Mus musculus: one gene and its partner. The protein of the gene in region 2 binds, or shares a complex with, the protein of the main gene of each other region. Links are inferred from orthologs where the notes say so. Each region holds a gene or a part of one and is shown on either strand. Other genes may lie near its edges.

Evidence for each region.
Region 1: the proteins of Gnao1 (region 2) and P2ry2 are in contact, whole or in part, in a cryo-EM structure (PDB 9K20), measured with the Homo sapiens proteins. The link is inferred for Mus musculus from reciprocal best matches to the Homo sapiens genes GNAO1 and P2RY2. Residues at the interface, in NP_066268.1 of Homo sapiens: Ala31, Lys32, Asp33, Val34, Leu195, Gln305, Glu309, Glu318, Ile319, Tyr320, Cys321, His322, Met323, Val334, Phe336, Thr340, Asp341, Ile343, Ile344, Asn347, Leu348, Gly350, Cys351, Gly352, Leu353, Tyr354; in NP_002555.4 of Homo sapiens: Asn66, Ser68, His130, Arg131, Gly134, Val135, Pro138, Leu139, Leu142, Arg143, Met221, Arg224, Leu225, Ala229, Tyr230, Gly231, Thr232, Ser233, Pro237, Ala239, Lys240, Lys242, Ser243, Arg245, Thr246, Leu308.

What each region holds. Positions count from the first base shown.
Region 1 is NC_000073.6:101,008,944-101,013,505, forward strand, and holds the start of P2ry2 (P2Y purinoceptor 2), read right to left. Parts: upstream 3,056-4,562; 5' UTR 2,769-3,055; intron 1-2,768. UniProt on the Homo sapiens protein: Receptor for ATP and UTP coupled to G-proteins that activate a phosphatidylinositol-calcium second messenger system. The affinity range is UTP = ATP > ATP-gamma-S >> 2-methylthio-ATP = ADP.
Region 2 is NC_000074.6:93,946,334-93,950,447, forward strand, and holds part of Gnao1 (guanine nucleotide-binding protein G(o) subunit alpha), read left to right. Parts: intron 1-3,070; coding exon 3,071-3,199; intron 3,200-3,968; coding exon 3,969-4,098; intron 4,099-4,114. UniProt on the Homo sapiens protein: Guanine nucleotide-binding proteins (G proteins) function as transducers downstream of G protein-coupled receptors (GPCRs) in numerous signaling cascades.

The DNA.
Region 1 (4,562 bases), on a different chromosome or scaffold from region 2:
AGCTTTTCCCAAGGAGTTGGACCTTAATAGATAACTTGGGGTTGTGAAGAAGACAGAAGAGAAGGGAGGAAGTCCAAGCCAGACTCAGTGGGCAAGGGGACAGGCTGTTGAGGAAGTGCCAGTAGGTCATGAGTGGCTGGCTTGGATGGTTATGTGGCATGGAATGTGTGGGGGCCAAGGAATTCATTTGAAAGGGCTCAAATGCCAAGCTGAGAGCGTATTCTCCAGATTAAAAGGGAAGGCTTTCTCAGAGTTTACAAAGATGGTACCACATGGAAGGTGGTTAGTACCAGAGTTTGGAGAGTAGGGGACCACCATAGTTATAATGATGCAGGCAGAAGAACTAGCATCTTGCTTTGGGACTCCCTGTCAGCCTCCTTCCCAACCCAAGCACAGGCTTGACCAAAGTCTCTCTTACAAATGGCACTGGAGGCTAGGCACTCTTCAGGACACTGTATCCATACAAGCCAGAGGAAGACCTAGTGCCCAGGCCTTTCTTCTTCAGTGGCAGGGACAGGACACCAAAATGGAGGATCCAGTTGGGCCCAGCAGGGTCCAGATGTCACTCTCTGTATCAGAGAATCCTGCTACTCATTCTATATCAAGATTGATATATGCCCTAGGGTTTGGGAGACAGGGCAATAGAGAGCTACTCTCTCTTGAGACTGAAGGACTAGGATGTTGCTCAGTTGGTAGAATGTTTACCTAGAATGCAGGAAGCCCTTGGTTTGATTGCCAGCACCAAATATAATGGGTGCATGCCTACGAGCCCAGCATTCAAGAGGTGGAAGCAGAAAGATTAGAAGTTTAAGGTCATTCTACACACTGAGTTCAAGGCCAGCCTAGGCTTCATAAGACCTTGTCTTGGGACAGGGGGATCCACTACAGCGACTCTTCATGGATCAAGACCTTTCTCTTCTGAATACCCACAGCACCTGGTTGCTCATTTCCCAACTACTCCCCGGCACCTGCTATGTGCTCCATCTGTGCCAGATAATAAGGACAAAGTGAGAAAGAGATGGCCGGGCTTCATAATATAACTAACCACCTTCTCTAGAGAGTAAGGAGGGTCTTGCAGCCATGTTCTTCCCATTAGGCTCTTCTGATGGCTTAGGGACCCAAAGGCATCTCAGGAGGAAACTATAGGTTAAAGGGTGCACAGACAGGCTCAGGGAAGGCAGTTAGGAGAGAGAAGAGATGCATCAGAGGGCACTTCTTAGTTAGCAGGTCAGCAAGATCTTCCTGGTCCTGTGAGCAGACCTGGGGATAATGGTGGTCATCCCATAAACAGCTGGGCAATTAGGCCACAAGAAAGACCCAAAGAAAGGCTCCTGGGGGCAGCCAGGCATGGTGGTGCTTGCCTTTAATCCTAGAGTTCCAGAGTTAGGCTATGGACAGGTCTCCGCGAGTTGGGGGTCAGCCTGGTCCATAGACTGACATCCAGGACACAGAGTGAGACACTGGAGAAATCAAACTCCCCTCAGCCTAGAAATAAGTAGCACTGCCTCATCCTGAAACTTTGGCCCTGGGCAGGGAGGCCTCAGCTGGGGCAGGTAAGCGGAGTCCCAGGTTTTATTTATGTAGCTTTGTGACCTTAGAGAAGACATTCTCCAAGCCTCTATTTTCTGATCTACAAAATAAAGGCAATAGTTCCTTTCTCATGGGGCCTTTAGGAGGAAAAGATGAGGGATTCTTATAAACTGTAACAAGTAACAGTTCAACAACATTCCAATAGTAGCATAAGCACTTCTCATTAAGAAGAAAGACTACAGCCAGGAAATTAAAGAACTCCTGGTGTCACCCATGAGGCCTTGGTGACATCCTCACATGCTCATCTGGTGCCTGGGGTAGGTGGGCAAAAGGGATCCCGGAAAGGCCACAACCTCACTCTGCATCTGGGCAGCCATTTCTGAGGATTACCCAGTATGCCAACCTGCCCATGTCCTCAAAACTCTGGAGTATCCAAAGCATGGAAAAGGAGAGGGGCAGACCTCCGCAGCAGGGCTTGTCCCCAGCCCTCATGCAGGACCCACACTGGCAGCAGTGTAGAGTCTGTTCAGAGACTCTCCTTCCTCCCACTCCCACCCACAGATAATTGCCACTTCCCTGCCGCCCCAGCCTGATCTTCAAAAGCCACTATTCCAAACTTGATCCAAAACAAGGCTGCTGACCCAGGGACTCTAGGGATGCCATTCTGAGCACAGCAGTCACCTAGCCCTATAAATCTCCAAACTGGAAAGGCTAGTTCCCAGAAGGATCTACACTTGGGTCTAGCTCCTGGAGATCAGTAACACACACACACACACACACACACACACACACACACACACACACACTGTAGCCCTAGTGAGGTGAACACTGTCTTTCTTCTGCCTGACCCTTCATACAGCACCACCTGCCCGATTAAAAGTTTCCAGACAGATCAAAGTCTTAACTGTCCTTATATGAAATTGCACTAGCAACCCACATTCCCACCCCACCGCACCCCCCACTCCCAACCCCACAACCCCGCCGCTGCTGCCACTGCCTCCGGTTCCTCACTGACACCTCACTGACACCGAGTGAGCTACCCAGACTGACTCTGGGGAGAGTTAAGAGTCCAAGCGCAAGAAGTCTCCAGGATTCCCAGGTCTCTTAGCCCACAGACTTACGCCCCAGGGGTACACACAGACTAAGTTCAGTCACTCACACCCTAAGGGTGTGCGCATTTGCCCACTAACACACAGATTCCCCCAGTATGCTGGTAAACACACCAAGATGACACTCACCGAGATCACGCTCTAGAGGAAACAAAGTTCATCAGCGCACCGGCAGCCGGCTCTCACCGCCCAGTTTTGCGCAGTACAAGGGCTGGGAGCCCGAGCCCTCGGGACAGTCACGTAATGGGCTCTCCCTGTTTGGCGCTGACTCGACCGGCGCTCCCGTCCCCAGGCCTCACTTGGCGACCTCTCTTGGTGTCCGCTCCCCTCTAGGAAGCACCTCTCACCTCCCCGCTGCGCTGGTCCCCTCCAAGGGCTGCCGCCGCTGTTCCTGGTGCCCGAGTCCCATGCCGAGTGGCGCAGGGTCCCACGTGCCTGGAAGCGCCGCGGTCCCCGCCCTACTCCGCCCCGCTCCGCACCCCATAGCCTGGCTGTGAGCAGGAGGGCGGGGCAGACTCTGGGCAGACGCCGGAGCCGCCCCCAACCCTTCTAAACAGATGCTTCCAGTCTGCCACCCGCTTGGGGACGCGGTCGGTCAGTGTCGCCGCCGGTCAGCGTGTCCGCCACGGCTGTTGAGCAAGGAGAGGCGGAAGGCGACCGTCCTGGCTGAGCAGAGGTCACCTGCTTAGCTCACCGATTTTCAGCGACGCCCAAGTTTTACAAGGTTTGCTTTGTGCTGGCCTGGCTCCTGTCACTGCCCACCGATGGACCTTTATACTGACCCTCAGCCTTCCCTCCGCTGCTGCCCCATCCCGCGTCACTTACGGATGGACAGATGGATGTGCTTTCAGACTGCTGGTACCAGCAGAAATCTTTGCCGGCTTCACCACCTCCGTCTGCTTTTGCTCTTCGTTCAGGTCACTAACGGGTCCATGAAGTCCTGGTTTAGTTTGATCTCTCATCTTGAACTGCCTCAATTCTTCTCTCTGGCCTGCTCTGAAGACTTTCTGTAGTCACAAACCCCATTCCTGTCCTAGTTTGAGCTCAAAAAGGCAAGGACCACACCAGCCACCTCACTGCTGTCCTGTGAAGGGGTGGATGAATGAGAGGGTGTCTGCCCCCTCCCATTTCTGACTCAGGCATCTGTTAGTATAAGTTCTAGGCCACCTTTAGCACTGTAAGACACATTTTCTGCGAAATGAAGCCAGTCCTTCCATGATCCTACTTTTCGTGTCCATCCAGGGAGTCTTGGGGTGGCCAAATAAACGGACAAGTTCAGAACAAGCCTTTTCCTATGGTGAGGAGTTTGCTCTCTGCCCAAGGGCTGTAGACTTTGTTAGTTGTGTATCCGCTGACTAAAGTCCCATTCGCAGCCCCTGGAGGGGTCCAGAAAGGGTCCGATCTGCAGCCCTGTCCAGAGTGAGAAGGGTGAATACACAGAGCTGGGTGGCTGAGCCTCTCTGCAGCCTCCTGGGGCCTTTGAGCAGACACAAAGGCTCCTTGTCTAACCTCTGCTGGCTATGGGAGCTGGTGCAGGCAGCTTCCAGAAATCTAGATCTCTCCACAGCCACCCTTGTGGCTTTAGGGTCCTCGTGTGAGGGAAGTCTTTCTGGTTATTGAAATCCCAGCGGATTTCCTTTTCCTGATCTCCCTTCTGAGCCGTCAGGTCTTTTTCTGCTGCTTCCCCTAGGACCCAGGATGGATCCTAGCCTCTAGAAGACCCACAGGCTGGACAGTGGGCAGTCTTGGACTTTACCCTTGCTGTGGTCCAATTCCTTTACTTTATAGCCAAAGAAACGACATTCCCAAGGTACATGACATCATGTCAGGTGACCTGGTAAAGCCCGAGTACTCAGATTCAAGTCTTCCTTCACTTTTTCTGTGTCTACTTTCTAAGATTCAGCCCTCTTTTTGTTGTTTGTT
Region 2 (4,114 bases):
TGGCAGCTAACAACCTAGGGACCTGTCTGAATTAGTATCTCCATTGCTGTGAAGAAACAGGGCTGGCCTGCAGTTTCAGAGGTTTAGTCCATTATCATCATGGCAGGAAGAATGGCAGCATGCAGGCAGACATGGTGCTGGAAGAGCTGAGAATTCTACATCTTTATCTGAAGACAGCCATGAGGGACTGGAGTCCACTCTGGGCAGAGCTTAAGCATAGACTACCTCAAAGCCCCACCTCTAACACTTCCTCCAACTAGACCACACCTACTCCAACAAGGCCACACCTCCTAATAGTACCACTCCCTATGGGCCAAGCACTTAAACACATGAGTCAGTGGTGGCCACTTCTATTCAGACAACCACAGAACTAGAGTAAGACCAAGAACCTCTTCCCATTTCACACATGCGCATGGGATTGTACAGAGGCAGCTACCTAAGGTAGGTTGTGGTCACCCAGGCCACCAAGCCCTGTGAGTTCTCAGGGACACCTCTGTGAGCAGAGATCCAAACTTCCTCTGCACACACAGATCATAGGCCTGAGAATGGCCCCCCAACCAGTCATCTCCCTCCAGGACCTCCAGGTTAGCCCTGGAGGCTAGAGCTTCACTGCCCACCTGTCCCCTGCTGGTCCCCCAGGCTAGGGTTGACGTCTCTTCCAGGAGGACTGTCAGGCCCCAGAGGGCCTACTAGCCTCAGCCTGTCTTCTGGATGTCCACCAAATATTCCTCTGAAATTTTACCATTTTATTAACACTAAAGTAAATACCTTGTAAAAACATCTCAAAAACAGAGTAAGGTATGAAATGAACAGCAGTCCCCTCACACACACACACACTTACACGCCCATATATACTCACATACACACATACATACTATCACACTCACACACACATACACATATATACACTTATACACACTCACACACCCATATATACTCACATACACACATACATACTGTCACACTCACACACACATATACACACACACACACTCACATATGCATACACACTGTCACACACTTACACGTAGATACATCCTTACACACACACATACATTCCTACATATGCACACACATCTGTGCGCACACACACACACTCATACACACTGTCACACACATGCACACACACACACACATGCACCGCCTGTCACCATACCCATCAGCTATATTTATATTCTCATCCTGCTTCAGCTAATATTTCCTGACACTTACCTTGAAAAACGGAGTCCAGCTCACCTTCCTTCTTTTCACACGCTCCCACCACTTATGGTTTTCTGCTCTGAATCCCCCACTCCCTCTGAATCCCCCCACCCAGGCGCATTCTCTGGCTCTCCTTTGCCACATTCTCATGGTCATGTGTTCTGTGCTGCCCACCTGGAAAGAAAGCTAACAGGAAGATGGAGAGGGGAGACAGATACACAGACTGTTAAGGGTAGAAGGACCTCAGGTGTAGCTTTGCCTTGTCTTGCCTTGCCGTATATCCTACGTTTACCTGGAACGTACTGTATAGCTCAGACAGGCTTCCGACCTCTCCATTCTTCTGCATCAGCCTCTTGGGTGCTGGGACTGGGATGCCACCACATCTTGCTTTCATAAATGCTATTTGGGGTCCTGTTTTGTGCTTTTAGGAGTTAAACTGGCCCTGATAAGGCTGTGAAATCTCACAGCTCCAGGAGGAGCCATTAATCCCCAGTTAATCACCATACCACCCCACCCCACCCCAGCCCTGCCAATTGTAGACCCCAGCCAGGCTTGGAGCAGGCCTGTTCCTAGACTGCTGTCCTGGCCCTTCCACATCAATCATTAAGCAAGAAAATGTCATATAAACATGTCTGCAGACCAATCTTAGGAAGCCTTTTTCTTAATTAAGATTCCCTCTTCCCAAATATGTCCAGGTTTGTGTCAAGTTCAAAAAAACCAACCAGCATACATGGTTTGGGAGGCTTTGATGAGACTCAGCCAACATAAAGTGAGACCAGGGGCCAGCTTGTATGTTCAGAGGACGTTATCCCTCTGAGGTAGGAATAGCAAGACAAAGGAAAGGGTCCCCCAGGCCTGGTGTCCAACAGGATCATGGAGATTGGCCTGAAAGAATTGGCTATTAGTAGCTGTGGACAAGGAGAGTCGGCCACCTGAGGACTGAACATAAACCTTCCCAGATATACTCTGGTCTTCTAAGGTGGGCCCAGTATCACAGACCTGTTCTGCTGCCTCAGCTTCTTCCCTTGACACCCACTCTGCCTTCCATTGAGAGCATTTGGAGAGCCCTGATCCCAACCATCCAGGTTCCAGGGAGGTCCTACCACTGCTTGCCTGAGGTAGACACCCCCCATCCCACTTACAAAAGCATCAAATGCGAAGAGGCACACAGACCTCTTAGTAAAAAAGAAGAAAGTATCAGATGGTAGGTGGATGCGCAGAGCCTCTCAAAGTACCATAGAGCTCTAAGAACGAAGACTCTGGAGACATGGGACTGTCCTGCACTGAGCCTCAGATTTTTTAATGTGTGAAGCAGTACATTTGGCACAGAGAAAGTGAAGATGGAACATGAATACGTGTAAAGAATAGAACCTAGGACTGGAGGGGTGGTTAAGAGCACTGGCTGTTCTTCCAGAGGACTCAGGTTCAGTTCCCAGCACTTACATAATAGCTCACAACTGTGTGTGACTCAAGTTCCAGGGGATCTGGAACCCTCTCTGGCCTCTGTGGTGCACATGCGTGTGGTGCACAGACATACATGCAGATAAGACATTCATACACTGTAAAAGGGAACATACTCAAAAGAGTAGATGCTACCCATTATTGCCCATTATTATTTTTAAATGAAGGCATAACAGCACTGTGCTGTGAACTTGGTAGTCTCATTTGCTGGGTCTGTGTGCCCAGCTCCTTTGAGTCTGAATAAGAGGACCTTAGAGAGTCTAAGACCCTCAGGCTCTCTCTTGCTTGTCCCCACATCCATTGATACCACAGTCAACCTTGCAAAGGCTATGACTGATATCAGACTCTAAAGGTAGTGAGCCTAGAACAGGGCCCGGGTCCATGGACTCTTGTATGTTGTCATCCCCAGCTACCTGGACAGCCTGGATCGGATTGGAGCCGGTGACTACCAGCCCACTGAGCAGGACATCCTCCGAACCAGAGTCAAAACAACTGGCATCGTAGAAACCCACTTCACCTTCAAGAACCTCCACTTCAGGTGAGGCCTAAGGAGATAGGGCATGGTGATGGGCCCTGTGGTGGTGGGCCTGGGGATGTGGCAGAGAGACGAGGGAATGTTCATGCCCTGCCTCACTTTATCTGGATAGCCAGGTAGTGTCTTGCCTTAAGGACCTTTCTCATTTGGTCAGACAGATACCTGAAGAAGCCCATCTGGGTACTTGGTTTCTGCCAAGTTCAAAGGCTAAAAGCAGCAGGTGGCTTGCTTAAGAGCCCCCTGGAAGGGAACATGGCAGTAAGCCTCAACCAGGTGGGTACGCCCAAGCCATGCCTGGGAGACTAGAGCTCACTATAATCTCAAAGCTAGCGAGGCTGAGAGAGCAGCTCTCCTGCTCACGTGCTGGAGAACCTGGAAAGGGCGAGGCCTAAAAGAAAACCAGGTGTTCCCCAGACGCAGGCTCTGAGGGCCTAAGAACAAGGGCCTGAACTGTGCTGCCAGGTTCCAGGACTCTACTGGAGGTTATTGTCTCTCAAGAGTAACCTTCATGTGCTAACTAAGGCCTGGTGACCCATTCTGACTTCCAAGTTTGGTGTCTTGATATCAGGTGAAACTAGGAGACGGAGAGGTGAGGCAGGGCTTTGAGTCAGTCTATTTGAGCACACAGATCAGTCCTGGGACAGGTGTCACAGGGGATGAGAGCCGCCTGCAGTCCCCAGGGTGGCAGTGGCTCATCTGTCAGCCTGTTCCTCACTCTCACCTCTAGCTCTTAGGCGTCCCCGCCCTCACAGCTTTCCCTGACTCCCTGCAGGCTGTTTGACGTCGGGGGCCAGCGATCTGAACGCAAGAAGTGGATCCACTGCTTTGAGGATGTCACGGCCATCATCTTCTGTGTCGCACTCAGCGGCTATGACCAGGTGCTCCACGAGGACGAAACCACGGTGAGTTACCTCAAGT